Linked DNA regions of Struthio camelus. The protein of the gene in region 1 purifies or fractionates together with the protein of each later gene. This does not show direct contact. Links are inferred from orthologs where the notes say so. Each region holds a gene or a part of one and is shown on either strand. Other genes may lie near its edges.

Region 1 (10,478 bases):
AGTTATGAGATCCCACTCTGCAATATACTTAAACCCACATCTAAGCATAAGGTCATGAATAGCCCCAAGTCACATTAACTGCTGGATGTACTGGTCTTCAGTGAATAAAAATGGGTTTATGCATGACAGTAATAAATTTTAAGGGTGATGTTTTAAGTTGCCTAATTCCCTGAAGCATTTTGGAGATTCTGCTTATTGCTATCTTAAATATCTACATCATGACGAAGAAAGAGAGAGAGAGAGTGACAAGATCAGGACTGCCGCAGCATGGTGCAGAGCATGCAGGAGTTTCACTTTTGGCCAGCTACTCTACCTCTCTGCTTCCCTGTTAAGAGGGAAATTTGACATCGTAGTGTCATCTAAGAGAGCTGAAGCATCAGTTTCCTATGCCCCTTTACACTTAAACATTTGTTTAATACTCAGTATAATGTAATCTTTAATATAATTAAGTTAGCAGTCACAAAATACTTTGCTACTTCTGTTCTCAGTGTCCTGCCAGTACAGTTAATAAAATGAGTGATATGCTGTTAGCTTCCCGTTTGACACACACGTTGTGAAGTAAAATCCACTTTTGGCAATAGAAGATTATTACATTGCTGTAATCTGGATAAGAAAAAGATAGGAAGATACCTGAAGAACCCACTCTAATCTATTCCTATCACAAGGCAGGACTAGCTATGTGGTTTTTAGCCTTAAAAGCTTTCAGTGATAAGCTTCTCCAAGGCCTTATTGCAATTTTTCAAAGCCCTCAACATTTAAAATATTTTTCAGCTATCTTACCAGAATTCTTTTGGTCAGCACTTCTTGTCCTGTCCACTAAGAACATGAAAAACCCGTGACCGTGTTCCGTGTTAGTCAAGTCTTTCTTAAGCTGAAGAACCCTAGTGTGCTCACTTTTCCATCGCAGGTCCTGTTTTCTAGCCCTCTGCTCGTTACTGTGCGCTACTCCGAACGCTTCGAAATTAGCGCCTGTGTTTCTTGCCGTGCAGTGCCCAAAGCTGGGCTCCAGCTGGTGCTTCCTGATGACCAAGTGGAGAAGGGTTCCTTTTCGTACTGTCTTTTTCCACAGAACTGCAAACCATGCACTTGTTCTCCAGCACGTCTCCGTGCAGTTGTTTGCTCTGTCCTAAGCATACCACCTTGCATTTGTCCCTATCGAATAGTGTCCTCCCCTTTTCAGACTGCATTTCCAATTTGTCAAGATCCTTTGGAATTCTGTCCCCATCCTCTGATATCTTTGCTGTCCATCCTTGCGTGGCTTTGTCTCCAAATATAACAAATATCCTTTGTTATATAAGTCTTACTGTCTTATAAGTCTTACTGATGTCAAGATTTACAATTTGTACTGTTTCTCCTCTGTCTCAGAGCCTGCTACCCTGTCATGGAAGGAAATGAGATTGGTTTGACATGACTTGGTCTTGACAAATCCATATTGACTGTCACTAATCTCCTTGTTTTTTTCTTAAATGCTTACAAATTGTTTGATTATTTGTTCCAGCGTTTTTCAGGAAATTGAAGATAAGCTGATGCGTCTATAATTCCCTAGCTCCTCCTTCTGTCCTCCCCCTCTTTAATAAGTTTCCATTACCTCTTTCATCCACCACAGTTTTTAAAGGTATTTATTCCCCTTAATATTTCTTACCATAGAGAGTCTATCAGCAAAAGAAAAACAGTAACCAGCAGAGGACGTTCTAAAAAGATTACTGTACTTTAATGACTTCAAAGACGCTAAATCATACTTTAAACAGTTTTAGGTAGATTATTACTCAGTTTTTCAAAGGACTCTAGTGTCGATCTGTTTCCATTCCTGCTGAAGGAAATAAGAAATTTCTCATTGGCTCCAATGGAAGCTCAGAGATTTTAAAAATTCATTTCCCTAACTCCAGAGTTGTTAAATGTATATTGATATGGTAAATGGTAAATAGGGTGCCTACTGTACAGATTTCAGCAAGTGCGCTTAAAAGGACATAAAGTCACATGATTTTTAAATATACTATAACTACATTTTCTTTTGTTAGACGGCTGTAAAACCAATCCGACTCAACTGGTCAAACTGAGTTTAAAACTATTGACTGGTGTTATTACAAGAAAGTATGCCTCAATTTCCTGCTGGTATGCTCCTTTCACACAATAAAGTGGGATGGGTCAGAGCATGTGGGTGAGTAGTTCACGCAAGAAGATCAACATATTGACTTGCTGAAGTTAAAATATCTCCTTGTGCAATACTGAGAGCACTAAACAATGATGGAACAAGCAGCCAGCCAGATGAGAAAGTCAGACATGCCTAATTCTTACAGTACTTTCTCTTCTTGCCAGGGATTGTTTTCAGTGGAGTTAGGCCTACACACACTAGCTGAGATCTTAGCTACCTGCTTTAACTTTACAGTGGTATACTGACTTTTCAAGTACATTGTGTCTGCAGCTTCTCTCCCCCCTTGCTTCTCCATCCTTTTTGATAAAGGGTTTGAAAGAGAAGAGCTGTCCCTGGCTATTTGCAATGAAGCACATCATTTCAAATCAATCAATCATTCCTCATTAGCTTCACAGACCAGATGCAAGGCACAGTGGAATCAATGCTCTGCTATGAAATCATCTCTAAAAAAAAATCTCCACTCCTATATACATTTTTGCTTGGTTTCTAAATACACATAAAGCCCCGGTGCAAAATAAAGGCACGGAGATTCCTTCTGTCCCTTCTGTGGTTTCTTCCAATACCAGAGAAGGCTCCTGTGTCCCCACAAGACTGGGAGAAGTGAGAGACCTCTGATAGCACAGGAGTCTCGGCAGAGTAGGAAAGACAGCAAAAACTCTTCCTGAAAGGCTCAAGAGCTCCTTATCAGAAGGAGCACTCTTGAATGCACCTACCAACCACGTCTCTTACTCCTCCTGCTGAGCTATGATTTTCTCCTCCTATAGAGAGTAGGCATGGGTAAGAGAGGCCAGCTTTAGTTATAAAGACTCAGATAGTTTCACCTGTAGTAGAAGTGTACGAGCAAGAAATGGAATAAATATTGTCATGGCTGACTCATCCTTCACAGATCTCTGTTTTCTTTTTTTCTCTTTTTGCATCTCCCAAATCTCTCTCATCATCATTTCACACTTGATTTCAATGTAGCTACAGAAGTGAAGATGACAATTGCACTGGTGTATTGATCTTGACACTACAAGTCCCTGTCTCCCATGGAGACAAATGTCATCTGCCCAGAGACTGCTGTCAGAAGAGATGCAGTGACTTCTGTATGTTCTTCTGCTAAAATAAACCGAGTTTATGGCACAGGGTCACTGTTGTGGGAATTTCAGAGACTGGAGTGCTGTCCAACACTACCCCCTTGTGATTTCTCTTGTTACAACACTCTTTCTAAACCACAGTTTTTCCAGATTGACCATTTTACACGAAGACTCTCCTTCTGAGCAGCACACATCCCACCACTTAAACAGACAGCTTGCTCAGCGTGAACCAAGCAACATTTGATATGTATACATACATTTTGTTTTTACTGAATTCCTCTTTTACTGTGCTTATAACCTTATATACTTCGATATGTATGATTCTCTATTTGCTGTTTCAGGAGCTCAGACAGACCTGGTATTTCCACCTACGCTGGCACATGTTGCACTTCCTGTCTAACTACAGAGTTAGGTGCAGAAATTCTAGATATCCTCATATTTCTTTATTATCATATTGTATCAATTTGAAGTGCAGAAGACGGAAGTCAAGCTACTTTAATTGAATGACAACATCTTTGCCCACACAGTTCATTGCCGGGCTGTGGAGAAGTCATAGCTCAGCTAGTGTGGCCAGTGCAATAGTGGGCAGGTATTAGCTCAGGTCCTTTCTTTGTTAAACATTGACCTGCTTCTCCTGTTTGTTTCCCCTGATTAAGTACAGCTCAATATTCTGTGTGCAATATCCTCATTTTTGGTGCAGCTGTGATGTTACCATCATTATGCCAGGGAACATGACATGTTTAGATGTCCGCTTTCCACAAGGGTTTCCTTGAGTTGAGATCTAACGCAGAGTAACTGCAAAGTTAATCCAGTGACCAGATAGTTCCCTTAGATATCTAAGAGAAAAAGGAGAAAGGCCATCAATAGCTCCCTTTCTTTTTGGAGATAACAGAACTATACAGGAACAGTTCCCCAAGTGTGTACTGTTTTCTTAATAAATGAATTAGCCATAGAAACCCCCAAGGTCACAGAGTTATTGAACAATGAACTAGAAAGACAATGAGACTTGTGTTCAAGCCCCGTCCTAGCTTCAGAGGAAGGAGTGGTTTGCAACAGCATGACGGTGCTCAGGGCTGCTGGAGGTTCAAAAAGCAGTGAGAGAAACCTGAGGAACAAAAATGCACCTAAAGCTATTACACAAAAAGCTATTACACACACTTCTGGTTCAGAAAGTCCATTTAAAAAGCAGCTGGCCTCTTTCTTGTCATCGTAATACAAACAACAGATAAGACAAATGAGAGGCAGAGTAGGCTTTGCAACTGAGAATATATCAACAGTAGCCCTAGGACACCTTTCACTTAACTTCAGAGAGTGACAGAAACGGTTTCCGTCTCAAATGAACTAGTTACGTTGAGGTCCCTTATTTAACGGGATGATGGCACGCACCTCCAAGACACAAGTCATCTGACCGGCTTTGGAAATCTAGTTTAGGATGAGCTGAATCCCTCCACAAAAGTGCCTTTTCCTCTCCAGGGACATTAAGGGGAATCAAAGGCGACTAGCTCAGACAGGGGTGCCTACAGTGTACATATCCACCTTTGGTCAGATGGGTCCTAGCTATGGACAATGAACTGCTAAGATCAACAACCAAACCAGGACCTTCTGAGCTTGGAAGCTGTTCAACAGGTATTGGAAGTGGAACAAAAAATGTTGCCAGTACTGTCAGAGAGCTCAAAAGAGAGGTTTTCCATAGTACCTGTGACCTCACTGAAGTAACATAGTATGTTTTTATGATAACAGCTATATCATTTTCACCCTATATGACAATTTGTGCTGGCTCTTGGTTGTCTTCCTAACATGGATACCACTGTAACACACAGGCTCAGGCACTTCCAATCACGCTACCGCAACACGGTAAACGAGAGCTGAATTTGGGCCATTACTACATTGACATTTGTTTGCTCTTTCTGTTTAAACTACCTGAGAACAGTGAACTTAACTGCACTGCCAGCGTGCCAGAGCAGCCCAGATGAGACCCATAAAAGCCCTTTGGTGCGTGAAAACCATTTTAATTCATTCACTTTCAATCAGATGTTTTCCTTTTCTCTCACTTCACTTCAGAACTTAACAATTCATAAGCGGAAGTCTGAAACTGGATCCAAGGTTTATTTTCACCCTAATTAAAGAACCTTGTTGGGACACGTAGAGAAGTTGCTAGGTTTTCCTTGTAAGTCCAGACCTGTCACTTCATAGAGAAGTAACTGTAGCAGAAGAAAATGAGTCTTGCACGCAACAGACCCACAGAGCTTCCTCGTGTGAAAAGGAGACAGTGCTGTTTCTTGGGCGCTTATTAACAAAGTCTCCGCAGTAAAAACACTACAAAGGATTTGCTTATTGCAGTGAGGTCTGCGGGCATATTCTTAAAACAGGCATTACTTAATTCCGAAACGCGGCAGAGACACCGCGCACTTGAGAGAGGACTTGTTCAAATTTCTGCGGATTTCCCAGGGCGACCAGCTGAGTGACTTCCTTACCCAGGCCCCAGGCCCTTCACGAGGACTCAACAGCGGCCCTGACGAACCTCCTTCCCCGCTTCTGCACATTTCTGAAGCAAGAGCTACAAATACCGCCCCCCTGCCCTGCTCCGACCCCCCGCCCCCGGCTCCGCGCTGCCCGCGGCCGTCGCTTTTACACCCTGGGGGCTGACGACGGTTAAAAAACAAAGCGCAAAGCGGCGTGCAGGCCGCGGCCGGGCCCGGGCCCGAGCCCGAGTAGGCCCCACCACGGGCCGGGAGCGCCTGGGGGCAGAGCTGCGGTGCCGGGGACTGAGGGAGCCGCAGCGGGTGCGCCCGGCCCGGCGCGAGTTAACGCAACGGCGCCGCCGCCACCACCACCGCCCAGGCCCTCGCCGCGCCCCGCCCCGCCGTCGCCGGGCCGCGCCGCCAAGGGAGGAAGTGTCGCAAGGGCTGACAGGAAACTTGGCGGCGGGTTTACGGCAGCGGCGCTTGGCGGCCGCTGGATGAGCGGAGAGTGGGAGCCGCGGCGCTGAGGAGAGGCGGGGGTGAGCGGCGGCGGCGGGCGGGGGCCGCGGCGGCGGGAGGCCGCCCGGGGCGGGCCGGCGACCGGAGGAGGGTCCCGGCGGCGGCAGCAGCGGGGCTGCAGGAAGAGGCGGCGGCGGGGCGGCGAGGCGGGGCCCGGGCCCTGTCTCTGCCTTTGTTCGCGCCCCCCTCCCCCCCCCCCCCGCCGCCGGCCCCGACCGCGGCCCGTCAGGCCGCCGCCGCCCTCCCCGTCTCGGCTGACGGCCGCCTCCTCGGCGGGTTTTGTGTCGGTCTCTCCCGTAGGATATGGCCGAGGTACCGCCGGGGCCTAGCAGCGTCCTCTCCCCGCAGGGGGACACGCTCTCCCCCTTCCCCGGAGGAGGAGGGGGGGCTGCTTCTTCCTCCTCCTCCTCCTCTTCCACCTCCTCCGCTGCCGCCGCCGCCTGCACCGGGGCCCAGGACGAGGAGGCCGAAGAGGAGGAGGAAGAGGAGGGACCCGCGGGCGGACGGGAGCAGCAGCAGCGAGGAGGAGGCGACGGCGGCAAGGGGGGGCAGCAGCAGCAGCAGCACCGCCTCCACCACCACCACCACCACCCCCCGCACCACAACCACCAGCTCAACGGCGTCATCAGCCCCGAGCTGCGGCACCTGCGGGCCTCCCTCAAGAGCAAGATCCTCAGCTCGGAGGCCGGGGCAGCTTCCGAGGGGCAGGAGAACAAGCGAGCCAGCAAAACAATGGGCTCTGGACAGCAGCAGCAGCAGCAGCAGCCGTCGCCCCCGGCCGCAGCACCGTGCTCGACCCCCCTTACTAACCACCTTGCTCCCCAGGGAAGGACTGCACCCTCTCCTCCTCCTCCTCCTTCTCCCCCAGCAGCAGCAACAGGGGACAGGAGCCAGCCTGCTGCCACAACTATGACTGCTGCTAAGAGTGCAGCCCGCAATGGACTCGCAGGAGGGACTGGCTTGGAGGAGGAAGAGCAGGAGGAGGGGGATGAAGGAGGGGAGGAGGAGGAGGAGGAGTCCCTGCTGCTACTCTCCAGGTCCTTAGCAGCAGCCTGCAGTTTGAAAGGCTCGGGAACGGACTCTCAGCCCGAGGAGGACCTAACGATACGATACGTCCGATATGAGTCAGAGTTGCAGATGCCCGATATCATGAGACTGATCACCAAAGATCTGTCTGAACCCTACTCCATTTATACATATAGGTATTTTATCCACAACTGGCCACAACTTTGCTTTTTGGTAAGTGCCCGGGGGTGGCAGGAATTGGGAGTGGTTTGGGGCTGGGGAGGAGAGGATTTAAAGGGTGACGTTTGTGGAAATACTTAGGCTATTCCTTTCATGGATAAGGGGGAAGGCCAAGGTTTTCTGGAAGTACCTTTCACTAATGAATTGCTCTCACCACCTGTGCCTGTATAAATAAAGCATGTGCCTAAAGATCCTACATTTATGAATAGATGTTTTGAGTGGTGGTGAAAGAGTTTGAACACAGGGCCAGTGTCCAGGAACTCAAGGGTTCTAATCTTGGTTTTGACATTGACTTTTGTGACCTTTGTCAGCTTATTTTTATTGTTCTGTCTCAGTTCCTAGGTTTATATATTTTTTTAAAAAGTATTTAGCCCATTAGTGTCTTATGAGTGCTTAGTAATTCTTGCACAATGGTTTTGAAACAGACTTCAACATGGCTAGTATATAAGTGTTAAGTGATACGTGGAGAAACAGTGTTAAATGTTTTGTAGATTCTTTTGATTTGCTAGCCTACTTAAAAAAGACAATTGCAACTGTATTGCTTCATACAGTTGTGAGAGTGTATGTAGCATACAGAAATTTTCATGCTGCCTCAACTATCTCGCAGTGCTAATGGCATGTTTAGTTTCATATTCTTCACACTGAGCTATTGAAAAGGATGATATAGCTTTTATGCTGTCTTTCTAAATATTTAGCAGCTCTTATGGAAGAGCGACTCCTGGGCAGTTTTAGAACTTGCACAGTTGAAAAGCATGCTGTTAAGATGCTAATCCATCCACAGGTATATGAAACTGAGTATAAGTTAGCCTGAGGGGGGTGTGTGCATAGGGGGACCTTAGCTGTGTTTGCTCTTTCTCGTATGAAAATTTCAGTCTCTAAAATGGAACATTTGTGAGAGTGTATGGCACGACGTTGCTAAGATGAATGATACGTTTTTCTCCCTCGATGTTTTAATCGAGGCTGGACACCTTTCTGAAAGATATGATTTAGCCAGAGCCAAGATACCCTTCAATTCAGGAGTATCTCTGTAAAATTGTAGTAGGATATGAGTACAGGAGGTCAGGCTAATGGAATCCATCTGGCCTTAAGCTTCCCGACTGTTCTTGTTTTAGGGTCTGGTATAATTTATAGCAGGATTTATATGATTTATAGGAGGATTTTCAGAACTATGCCTCTTAAAGCCCTAAAGAGGGAATACAGTAGGATTGTAGGAAGTTGAGCAAAACATTACCTTCGGAAACAAAACAAAATTATAAAATTATTTGAAAACACTGTCCAATGTAAATTCATGATTGCCATTATATTATTAATTATAAGCATGGTGATCGGAGCAGAATGGTATTTTTCAAGCACTGAGCCTATCCTAGCTATGTGTGCAGCTGATTAATCTCATACTGAAAAGAAGTGCTTGTGAGCTACAAATGTCCCTAGTTTCAGCATCAAGTGCATTGTTGGTAATGCCAAGGAAATGCTGGCTGCTACAAGATCACAGTGCATCTTTTTAGTCTTTAGATCTTGGGATTTTTTTGTTTTGTTTCCTTTTTTTGGTCAGAGAGTAACTTGAGAATTTTGTTGTTACGAAAAGGGCGATGACACATTGTTTGACAGAGCTCTAAAATATTTGATTTCTAATATTTATTTTTAAAACAAGTGCTTTCAAAGAGCATGTTTTCACTCAAGGAAAAGATCTCTTAAGCTTATTTTCTAGTGACGGATTCATTTTTTTAATAGCCTTGAATCAACAAAACTTAGCTTGAACTTTGCGAGTCTACTCAGATTTGCCATTTTTATGAAGTGCAGAACAATATGAAGCGCATAAAACTAGAGAAGGATATGTGGCTACAAATGTCTAAAGGAATTATCAAATTGTTTTATAAATGTAATAATCTGAGGCTCTTGCAATATGTTATTTTTTTGTGCCTGGTTTTAGCATTTTGAGGTTTGTTTTTAGAGGTTTTATTGAAGACTTTCTCTTCTGTGAAAATTAGTCTGTTCCTGCAGTTAATGGATTCCTGGACTACCTCTCTCTAATAAGTATCTTTAAAATATTTACCTTCAGTGAGGGACTGTGTGTTCCAATTAGCAGGAACAGTGTCAGGACAGTGAGAAGAAATACCGTAATTTTCCTCTCTAGCATCTTGGATACCTGACAATGCAGAACTCTTTCTTGGGGGCATTATTAACACTATTCCTGTGGGTGATGATCTAGGAGGTTTGAAACTTAAGGAGTTGTGGCTTGGCCTTCCCAAATTGTAGGGACACTCTAATGGCTAGTGCAACCAAAAAGGGCTACTTGCTCTTCCTTTTCTATCGCCTGTCTCTTCTTCCTTTGTGCCAACGTTTATATTTATCTGATTTGGGAAGCTAGGCTAGCTGCACCCTCCACCCCCAAAAAAGTAAAGTAATGGCCATGGACACACATGCATGCACATGTTTTTGTATGTGTGTTTGTCTGTGTATGTATATATATATATATATATATATATATATATATATATATATATATATATATGCGCGTGTGTGTGTGTTCTATGGTCAGCTTTCTCTTGATTTAGCTCTCCAAGCATATTCATAGTGGGAGCACACAAGTGCCAATGTTGGTGCAAAAGAAGAGGTGAGATCCTCCAGCATAGCTGGAGAGAAGGCACAGGACCAACCCTGCCTAGTCGCTAGCTTGGTTTTGCTCTATCAAACTACTTCCTAACTTGGTGCTTGAAAAATAAATTCATTTTCCGCTTTAAAAGGAACTGCCGATATTGAGAATCTTCAAAACCATTCATTCTAACATCAAATTCATCTGTAAAACTGTCTTTCTGACTTTTGAGGTAACAAGTTGATTATATGTGATGATCAATTCTGATATATTATATTGCAGAATTTTCTGACTGGGCTGTAGCAAGGTAATAAGCTACTTCATAAACTCTAGCTGTCTGCTTAAACTTGGATTTCACCTGTCTTTGGAACAGCAGGTTCGCACGTTGTGCTAGGTGTAGATGCTCTGGAAACTCTTCCTTTTTGTTTGTT
Region 2 (10,137 bases), on another chromosome or scaffold:
CGACGGCGATCCGCCGACTGTCACGCCAGCCGGCGTCACCCGCGCGGCGGCCGTCTCCGAGCGCCTCTCTCCGCTGGGAAGCCGCGGCCGAACGCCGGGGACGGCCTCGACCCGGGGCCCGAGGGAAACCGGCTCTGCTCGACCGATGATGAGTCAGGGCTGCTGCCGCGCCGGCGCGGGACCCCGCAACGACAGGGCTCGCGCCGCTCGCTCCGACCCCCAGCAGACGGATGAGCTCCGGCTCTTGCTGCTCCGGTCGGATTAACATCCGGCGATCCTACATTGCAGAGGAACGCGATCCCTTATTAGACACTGGTGAACCCGCACTGGCACAAGCCCCAAACGCTGCCCTTCAGGCTCCAGGACCTACAACCAGCTCCAAATATCTCCGCTGAAGGCTCCCGGGAGGAAAAAAGCCGAGTCGCGGGGTCCGGAGCCGTCGGCCGCTCGCCCCGACACCAGCGGGATTCGGGCAGGTTGCGGATGCCGTTCGCTTGAGCCAAGGCAAAAGGAGCTGGATTTGGAGCTGGGTGACGTCTCGTGTCCTCGCTGGTCCCTGCTCTGTAGCGGAGAGCACCCAAAGAGGGGAGGAACAGCCCCAAAACCACGCGCCGAGGGAATGGGAAAGGCTCCAAATCCTCGGGAGCGGGTTCGGGGACTGAACTGTGAGAAAAAGCCCATGGGAACGCGCCCCAACCTGCCTGCGCGCATCGGGGATAAAAAAATCCCAGCCGGGAAGGGGCAAAAGCACCCAAACCTCGTGGGGCACCCCGAAAACGGGGCCAGAGAAACCCCGAGGTGACAGCGGAGCCGCTTTCCCACCCCGCCGGGCACCGCCGCCGTCCGAACGTGCGTCCCAGGGCCGATCCCGCTGCCTCAGGATCCCCCCGGCTCCCGAAGGACCCTTTTCCTCCGTCTCTCTGGCTGTCACAGTGCCGCCGGTCACCAGACCCGACTTCCTGGGACGTAGATTCTCCAAGCGCCCGATATTGGGGCCGAGTTCGCCCTGCGGCTGCTCCCGGAGTCTCCATCCTCCTTGGTTTTGTGGAGCAAAACGCCGCATTTTGGCTCCCTTTTCCCCACACCGTCCTGTGGCATTGCTCCGAACCAGACAGAGGTTCGGGGTCAGAGAGATGCTCGGGGTGAGAGCAGGACGGGGGGGGGCCGTCCCCGAAAAACCAACGGGATACCAGAGTGCCGGGATACCAGAGACGGAGCCTCGTGCCACGCGGCACCCCTCAATTTGAGGGAAAACAGGCTGGATTTTGGGGTGGGGGCTGCGCACCAGCGTTCCAGGCCTGACCTCTAGTGGCTACAGAGACCAATTACCTGGGATCCGCTTGGAGATCCCCCTGCTCGCGCAGCGAGACCACCGGGAAGGGTCTCCCGCCGGCTCCGGCTCTTCCTCCCACGCCGGGAGCTGCCGAGCGGGGTTCGATCCCGAGGGTTTCTGGTGGGAGAAGTCGCAGGGGCGCTCGCGGCCGACCCCAGGCCACAGGGGGCCCCGATTCCCGCACGGAAAAGGGACGGTGCCAGTCGGCGGGAGGACGAGGAAGGCACGAGCGGGAGGCAACGCCGGGGACGCCCCAACTCCCCTTCAGAGCTGGCCACGCTCCGCCAGGCGCGGACCACGGAGCGCCACCGGGCTCCGATCTCCTCGTTAGCGAGTTAATCACTGCTTTCCCGCTGGCTGCTCGGAGCCGAGCGGCCCGAGGTTTCCTCCCGGGCCCAGGACGCGAGCGGATCCTCCCTGCCTGCCGGCCACCCGGATCCCAACGCGGCTCCCGATGGCTTTTTTCCATCCCGGCAGCGAGGACGGAAGCGCCGCGGCCCCGTTTCCTGCTGCGACCCCCAGACGAGGCTCAGCCGTGGCCTTTTCACACCAAAACCGGGTTTATTTCTCCGAAAGTTCCAGGGATGCGCCTTGTCTCGAAGGAGCCGCGCTGTCGGAGCCCCGCGGGGACCGAGGAGCCCGCCTGCGCCGGGATTCGCCCTCGGAGGAACAGATCCTCGCGCTCGGGAAGGGAATTTCGCTGCTGCCAGCCTGGAAAAGGAGGAGACGGCGGCGATGGGGCAGCGAACGCGGCTGGAGCCGCGGGGACGAGCCACGCCGCCCGGACGAGCTTTGCCGGAGGAAACGGATGGGTTTGGGACCGAAAAAAAAAAAAAATCAACTCAAAACAGCGCTTCAGGGCAGAGCTGCTTCGCTCTTAACCCCCTCCGAGAGCAGAGCCCCAGCGGGGACGGGGGTCCCACCTGCTTCGCCCCAAAACCGTTCCCCCCCCCCGAAACGGAGCCGGGCGCCCCCACCTGCGGCTAGAGCTCGGTGAAGTCGTCGTTGAAGTAGAGCAGCAGGGCGGGGAGGTGGCGCTCGGGGTCGAGGCCGAGGCGCCGCAGCTCGGGCCCCTCGTCGGCCACGCCGTTCTGCTCCAGCGTGCGCTCCATGTCGAGGGCGGCCCCGCCGTGGCGCCAGCTGTAGCTGCCGGCGTGGGCGTTGCGGGGCAGGTAGCGCCGCAGGATGTCGTGCAGCGTCTCCTCCGCGCACACCTGCGGCCGCCGCGGCTGCTCGGGCCCGCCTGACCGGACCCCCGAGCTCCCTAACGAGGCCTCCGGGCCTCCCCTGTCCTTGCAGGGCTCCCACACCACCTAACGACCTCTCCAAATCCTCCCATGCCGGCTAACGAGCCCCCAGATCCTCCCCCATAGCTGTGGGTCCCCCAACCTTGGCTAACGACCCCCCAGATCCTCCCATGGTGGCTAACGAGCCCCCAGATCCTCCCCCATAGCTGTGGGTCCCCCAACCATGGCTAACGACCCCCCAGATCCTCCCCCATAGCTGTGGGTCCCCCAACTTTGGCTAACGACCCCCCAGATCCTCCCATGGTGGCTAACGAGCCCCCAGATCCTCCCCCATAGCTGTGGGTCCCCCAACCATGGCTAACGACCCCCCAGATCCTCCCCCATAGCTGTGGGTCCCCCAACTTTGGCTAACGACCCCCCAGATCCTCCCATGGTGGCTAACGAGCCCCCAGATCCTCCCCCATAACTGTGGGTCCCCCAACCTTGGCTGACGATCCCCCAGCCCCCCCTCCTCCATTAACTAACCCCTCCCCAACGACCCTGGTGACAGTGGGGACGTCCCACGGTGGTGGGGGAATCCAGGGCCTCCCCATTGCGCTGCCCCCCCCCCGGGGGGGACGGTGACGAGCCCCGGGCCCCCCCCAAAGGGGCACGCTGACCTCGAGGACATCCTGCTGCCCCGTGAGGGTGTTGAGGACGCGCAGGCGGCGGGGGCGGGCGCCCAGGCGCCCCACCTCATACCGGGGGTCCCGCCACCACGGGGGGCGGGCGGGGGGCACCCAGTCCGAGCGGGGCGCCGGCGGCGGCACGTCCAGCAGGCCGCCCCCCGGCGCCCGGTAGCCCGGCAAGCCCGTGTGCGGGTCCACCCGCCTCAGCAGCTGCCGGTTGGGGGGGGGGGGGCTTCACCAGGAGCCCCCCACCCCCAGGGTGCCCCCCATCCAGCATGAAACCCTACACAGGGACCTCCCACACACCAGGACCCCTAATGGCACACTGGGACCCCCCCCCACCAACATGGGGACCCTCTGAGTGCTACCTAGAGAGCGCCAGGGCCCCACATCGGGAGCCCTAAAAATCACAGCAGGACCCCCCAGGGGTCATCCTAGGACCCCCCCAACACTAGGAGCCCTCACCCCACACTGGGATCCCCCAGGCGCTATTCAGGGACCCCCCCCACCCCATGCTAGCACACAAAGCCCCACACGACCCCCATGCCCCACACCTGGACACCTAAAATCACACCGGGACCCCCTAAGTGGCACTCAGAGACCTCCCCACACCTCGAGACCCCCCCCACCCTGCACTGGGGCCTCCTACCCCACACCAGCACCCCCCAGCTGCCACCCAGAACCCCCTACCCCACATCGACTCCCCCATCCCACACCAGGACCACCCCCGATGTCACCTGAGGGCCCCCCCCTCACACCGAGACCCCCCCCAGGTGCTACTCAGGACCCCCCACCTCACATCGGAACCCCCAGGTGTCACCCGAGGCCCCCCACCCCCACCCCACACCGGGACCCACTGGGTGACACCCCCCCCCCCCGGCAGGCACCCCAGCGGGGGTCTTTGGGGGCAGTTCCCCCCCCGACCACTACACACGTCCTGCGTCCGGGGGTCGAACCAGTGGCTGATGTCGGTCCCCGCCGCCTCGAGCAGGGGGCGCAGACGGGGGTCGCCTGGAGGAGGGAGGCGGAGAAGGGAAATGGGGCACGGAAGGACGCGACCCCCCCCCCCAACAAAATGGCGGCGTGCGGGGAAGGAGGGGGGGGGGCCCCCTCGGTAGCGGGGAAGGAGGGGTGGGGGGTCCCGGGACCGCCGTACCGTGGTGCTCCCGCGCCAGCGGCGTCAGGTCGAGCACGCGGCCCAGGCAGCTGACCCAGAGGTCACCGGGCCGCGCGTGCGCCGCCACCTCCCGCGCCGTGAAGTACCGGGGCCGCGGCGGCGCCATGGCCGAGGTCGGCCGCGCGCTGCCATGGCGACGCGGCGCGCAGCGCCCGCCGGGAAGCGCCGTTCCTATGGCGACGCGGCGCGCGGCGCCTGCCGGGAAGCCCCGTTCCTATGGCGACGCCGGCCGCTGCCCCGGCAACGCCATAGCGCGGCGTCCGACGGGAAGCGCCGTTCCTATGGCGACGCGGCGCGCGGCGCCTGCCGGGAAGCCCCGTTCCTATGGCGACGCCGGCCGCTGCCCCGGCAACGCCATAGCGCGGCGTCCGACGGGAAGCGCCGTTCCTATGGCGACGCGGCGCTCGCCCGGAAGCGCCGTTGCCCTAGCAACCCCGCCCCCCAGCTGGGAGTCGGCCCGGGCCCAGGGGGCGCTCGCCGCGCGCTGCCTGCCGGGAAAGCCCGCCGCGTCGTGCAAGGCATGTCGGGAAATGTAGTCCTTCTCCCTCCTCCCGCCCCGCCATGCTGCCGCGCGGGGCATGGCGGGATCGCGCCCCGCCCCGCCCGCCTTTGTTCCCCCCCCCACCTCCCGCCTCCTAAAACCGGCGAGCGCAAGGCATGCCGGGATGTGGAGCTCCCCGCCCCGCCTCCCGCGGCGCCGCAAGGGCTGCCGGGAGCTGTAGGCGCCGCCGCCGCGCGGGGGCTGCCGGGAAGGCGCGGCCCCGCCCCGCGCCCGCGGGATCTCGCCGCCGCTCTCGCGAGACTTCGGCGCCATGGCGGAGCCGCCGGAGCCGCGGGAGGAGAACGGCTGCGGCGGGCGGGGGCGGGGCCCGCCGGTGAGGGGGGCGGGGCCACGGCGAGGGGCGGGGCCTGGGGGAGGTGGGGGGGCCATAGCGAGGGGGGCGGGAGGGGCTGTTGGGGCACTGCATGGGGCTGTTGGGGGGCCCCGGGGGCTGTGGGGGGCCCCAGAGGCTGTAGGGGGGCCCTAGGGCCTTTGGAGGGACCCCAGGGGCTGTGGGGGGGGGCATAGGGCCTATAGGGGGGCTGGGGGAGGGCCCCAGGGGCTGTGGGGGGGGCCATGGAGCCTATAGAGGCCTATGGGGGGGCCCAAGGGCTGTGGGGGGGGGCATGGGGCCTAAGGGGCAGCTATGGGGGGGCCCAGGGGCTGTGGGGGGGGGCCATAGGACCTACGGGGAGCTGTGGGGGGGGCCTAGGAGCTGTGGGGGCATATGGGGGGGCCTAGGGGCTGTAAGGGGGGCCATGAGACCTATGGGGGGCTGTGGGTGGCTATGGGGGAGCCCCAAGAGCTGTGGGGGGGCCCAGGGGCTGTAGGGTGGTCCTAGGGGCTGTAGGGGGGCCCAGGGGCCTACAGGGTGGTTATGGGGGGGCCCTAGGGGCTGTGGGGGAGCCATAGGGCCTATAGGGGAGCCCCAGAGGCTGTGGGGGGGCGCCATGGGGCCAACTTGGGGCTATAAGGGGGCTCTAGGGGGTGTGGGGGAGCCATAGGGCCTATAGGGGGCTGTAGGGGGGGCATAGGGGCTATGAGGAGGCCCTAGGGGCTGTGGGGGGGCTTTTGAGGGGCTCTAGGGGCTATGGGGGACCCTATGAGCTATGGGGGGGCCCTAGGGGCTGTGTGGGGGGGCTATTGGGGCTGGGAGGGGCTAAGGGGGGGGTCTAGGGGTTATTGGGGGCAGTCCAGGGGCAATGGAGAGACCCTAGGGGCTGTGGGGGGGCTCTTCAGGGGCCCTAGGGCTTATGGGGGGGGTCCTAGGGGCTGTGGAGAGCTATAATGGGGGTTCTAGGGGCTGTGGGGGGACTATAGGGGGACCTAGAGGCTATGGGGGGGCTCTGGGTATTATAGGGGAGCTATTGGGGGCCTAGGGGCTATGGGGGAGGCCCTAGGGGCTGTGGAGGGGGGTTCTTGAGGGGCCCTAGGGGCAGTGGAGGGGCTATGGGGGGGTCCTTGGGAGGTGGGGGGACAATTGGGGGGCCCTGGGGGCTGTGGGGGGGTCTTGGGGGACGGTAGGGGCTGTGGAGAGGCCCTAGGGGCAGTGGAGGGGCTATGGGGGGTCCCTGGGAGGTGGGGGGGCTATAAGGGGTGCGCTAGGGGCTGTGGGGGGGTCTTGGGGGACGGTAGGGGCTGTGGAGAGGCCCTAGGGGCAGTGGAGGGGCTATGGGGGGTCCCTGGGAGGTGGGGGGGCTATAAGGGGTGCGCTAGGGGCTGTGGGGGGGTCTTGGGGGGCCGTAGGGGCTGTGGGGAGGCCCTAGGGGCAGTGGAGGGGCTATGGAGGGTCCCTGGGAGGTGGGGGGGCTATAAGGGGTGCCCTAGGGGCTGTGGAGGGGGTCTTGGGGGGCCGTAGGGGCTGTGGGGAGGCCCTAGGGGCAGTGGAGGGGCTATGGCGGGGTCCCTGGGAGGTGGGGGGGCTATTGGGGGCCCTGGGGGCTGTGGGAGGGGTCTTGGGGGGCCGTAGGGGCTGTGGGGAGGCCCTAGGGGCAGTAGAGGGGCTATGGGGGGTCCCTGGGAGGTGGGGGGGCTATAAGGGGTGCCCTAGGGGCTGTGGGAGGGGTCTTGGGGGAATTTGGGGGGGTGGGCTATAGCTGGACCCACCGGGAGGGGCTCCGGGGGCCCTGCGGGGGTGGTGCTGCCCCCTCCCCGGCCCCCCCCCCCCCCCGCGCAGGGCTGACGGGGGTCGCAGGAGCCCGGCGGGGGGCACCCGCGGGCCCGGCGGCGCCTGGAGGCGCTGCTGAACCGCAGCATGCGGATCCGCATGTCGGACGGGCGCACGCTGGTGGGCGCCTTCCTCTGCACCGACCGCGACGCCAACGTCATCCTCGGCTCCGCCCAGGAGTTCCTCAAGGCCGCCGGTGAGCCGGACGCCGGGGCCCCTGCCCGGGCCGGGGGGGGGCAAGGTGGGGGGCGGCCCGGACACCGGGGGGCAGGTGGGTGTCAGGCTTGGCCCCCCACCGGCGGCTGTAAGGGGGGACCCGGACACCTGGGTCCCTTCTCCCAGGGGGTGGCCCGGACACCAGGGTCCCCTCCTAAGGGGGGGTGGCCCGGACACCTGGGTCCCTTCTCCCGGGGGTGGCCCGGACACCTGGGTCCCCTCCCTTGGGGGGGTGGCCCGGACGCCTGGGTCCCTTCTCCCAGGGGGTGGCCCGGACGCCAGGGTCCCCTCCTGGGGGGGGTGGCCCGGACGCCTGGGTCCCTTCTCCCAGGGGGTGGCCCGGACACCTGGGTCCCTTCTCCCAGGGGTTGGCCCGGACGCCAGGGTCCCCTCCTAGGGGGGGTGGCCCGGATGCCAGGGTCCCTTCTCCCAGGGGGTGGCCCGGACACCCGGGTCCCCTCCTAGGGGGGGTGGCCCGGACGCCTGGGTCCCTTCTCCCAGGGGGTGGCCCGGATGTCAGGGTCCCCTCCTAGGGGGGGTGGCCCGGACGCCTGGGTCCCTTCTCCCAGGGGGTGGCCCGGACGCCAGGGTCCCCTCCTAGGGGAGGGTGGCCCGGATGCCAGGGTCCCTTCTCCCAGGGGGTGGCCCGGACGCCAGGGTCCCCTCCTAGGGGGGGTGGCCCGGACGCCAGGGTCCCTTCTCCCAGGGGGTGGCCCGGACGCCAGGGTCCCCTCCTAGGGGGGGTGGCCCGGATGCCAGGGTCCCTTCTCCCAGGGGGTGGCCCGGACGCCAGGGTCCCCTCCTAGGGGGGGTGGCCTGGACACCTGGGTCCCTTCTCCCAGGGGGTGGCCCGGACGCCAGGGTCCCCTCCCTTGGGGGGGGTGGCCCGGACGCCTGGGTCCCTTCTCCCAGGGGGTGGCCCGGACACCTGGGTCCCTTCTCCCAGGGGGTGGCCCGGACGCCTGGGTCCCCTCCCTTGGGGGGGGTGGCCCGGACGCCTGGGCCCCGCTGAGGCGTCCCTGTGCCCGCAGACTCCTTCCCCGGCAGCGAGCCGCGGGTGCTGGGCCTGGCCATGGTGCCCGGCCACCACATCGTCTCCATCGAGGTGGAGCGGGACAGCGCCACGGCCCCCCTCTACCCGTGACGCCCGCCGCACGCGTGACGCCCCCTCCCCCCGGCTCCTGGGACCGGATCGGTGACGGCCCCCTCGCACCTGCGACGTCCCCGGCACGCGTGACAACCCCCCCCGACCCACGGCAGCCTCCGCACGCGTGACAGCCCCTCCCCGTCACGCGTGACACCCCGTGAGCGCCATGGGAGGGGGCCGGGGGGGGCCCAGGCTGCCTGTGCCCCATTAAAGCCTCCCTGGAGCCCACCCACATCGTGTCGTCACCACGCGACGGGGGGGTTGGGGTGCCCCCCCCCCAAACCGGTGTCCCTGGGTCCCCTTGGAGCAGGCGGGGGGGGAGGGGGCGAGGGTGGTGGCAGCTGCAGCCCCCAACCGGCCCCCCCCCCAATTCTCTGACCCCCCCCAAAACCCCAGGGTGGCCCCCCCAACTGGGACCCTCCCCCGCACCCCCTCTAGGCCCCCCACTGCCCCCTCCAAAGGACCATCCCCCTGGACCCCCCCCAAACTGGGACCCTCCCTAACCTGGACCCCCCCAAACCAAGGTCCCCCCAATCCAGATCCCCCCCAGCCTCCCCAAACTGGACCCCCCCCAAAACCAGAGCCCCCTCCCCCAAACTGGGACCCCCCCCAACTGAACCACCCCCCAAACCAGCCTCCCCCAATCCAAATCCCCCTGGGACCCCCCCCCAAACTGGGATCCCCAACCACCCCCCCAACCCCCTCCAAACCAGGACCCCCTCCAAACCAGGACCCCCCCCCAGATCCCCCTGGGACCCCCCCAATCCCTCTCCCCCCCCCCGCAGGACGGAGCCGGCCGGGCTGTGCGAGTTAATTAATCTCACGTACAAAATAGCTTCTGTGGCCGCGGGGGGGGGGGAGCCCCGGCCCCCCCCAACCCACCAAAAAACACCGGGGCCGGGGCCGGGGGGGGGGCTGGGTGTGTGTGGGGGGGGGCCTGGGGTGGCCGCAGGGCCCAGCACCATGGTGGCACATGGGGGACACCCGGCCACCAGGACCTCCCCCCCCCCCCCGCCCCATGTCACAGCATCACCCGCACGCGGGGGTCACGGGCCGGCAGGACCCCCCCCACACACAATGGGGGGGGTCACCCAGACAGGGGGGACACCCCCCCTCTGCGTCACAGCGTCACCCGGACACGGGGACACCCCTGCGTCAGAGCGTCACGGGATAGCGGGGGGGGGGGGTGTCACAGGACACCGGGATGCCAGTGTTGGAGGACCCCAATGTCCCAGTGTCACCAGGACTCCAGGACACGGTGTCACCGGGACGTGGTGACCCTCTGGGACACCGGGACTTTGTGTCACCGGGCCCCTCCCTGGGACATGGAGACCCCCCCCCCGGTGTCACGGGGTCCCCGGCACCCGCACAGGGTGTCACCAGGTTGCAACGACCCCCCTTTCCCCCCCCTCCAGGACATGGGGACACCCCCCTCCCCGGACAGGGCGGTCCTCGAGATTTGGGGACCCCCCCGGGGTCACCGGGGCCCCCCAGGACGCAGCCCCCCCCCCACACACAGACACACGCAGGGTCCCCGGGGTCCCCTGGCGACACGGCCCCCCCCCAACCCCGTTTCCCCCCTCCGGGGACCCAGACCAGGGCTCAGGGAACCCCCCCGGCCCGACCCCCCCTCTGCAATAA

What was found. The genes of interacting proteins can lie anywhere in the genome.
Region 2: the proteins of NAA30 (region 1) and NAA38 purify together in Homo sapiens (co-immunoprecipitation; 3 studies listed by BioGRID and IntAct, with this or other methods). This does not show direct contact. The link is inferred for Struthio camelus from reciprocal best matches to the Homo sapiens genes NAA30 and NAA38.

What each region holds. Positions count from the first base shown.
Region 1 is NC_090946.1:78,555,769-78,566,246, reverse strand, and holds the start of NAA30 (N-alpha-acetyltransferase 30), read left to right. Parts: upstream 1-6,106; 5' UTR 6,107-6,229; intron 6,230-6,328; exon of another isoform or gene 6,329-6,509; 5' UTR 6,510-6,512; coding exon 6,513-7,448; intron 7,449-10,478. UniProt on the Homo sapiens protein: Catalytic subunit of the N-terminal acetyltransferase C (NatC) complex. Catalyzes acetylation of the N-terminal methionine residues of peptides beginning with Met-Leu-Ala and Met-Leu-Gly.
Region 2 is NW_027182697.1:115,764-125,900, forward strand, and holds NAA38 (N-alpha-acetyltransferase 38, NatC auxiliary subunit), read left to right. Parts: upstream 1-5,217; 5' UTR 5,218-5,237; coding exon 5,238-5,300; intron 5,301-7,160; coding exon 7,161-7,329; intron 7,330-8,380; coding exon 8,381-8,493; 3' UTR 8,494-8,724; downstream 8,725-10,137. Other genes in the region: CYB5D1 (cytochrome b5 domain-containing protein 1), read right to left, coding at 36-277, 367-1,035, 1,330-1,450, 1,924-2,044, 2,311-2,547, 3,240-3,319.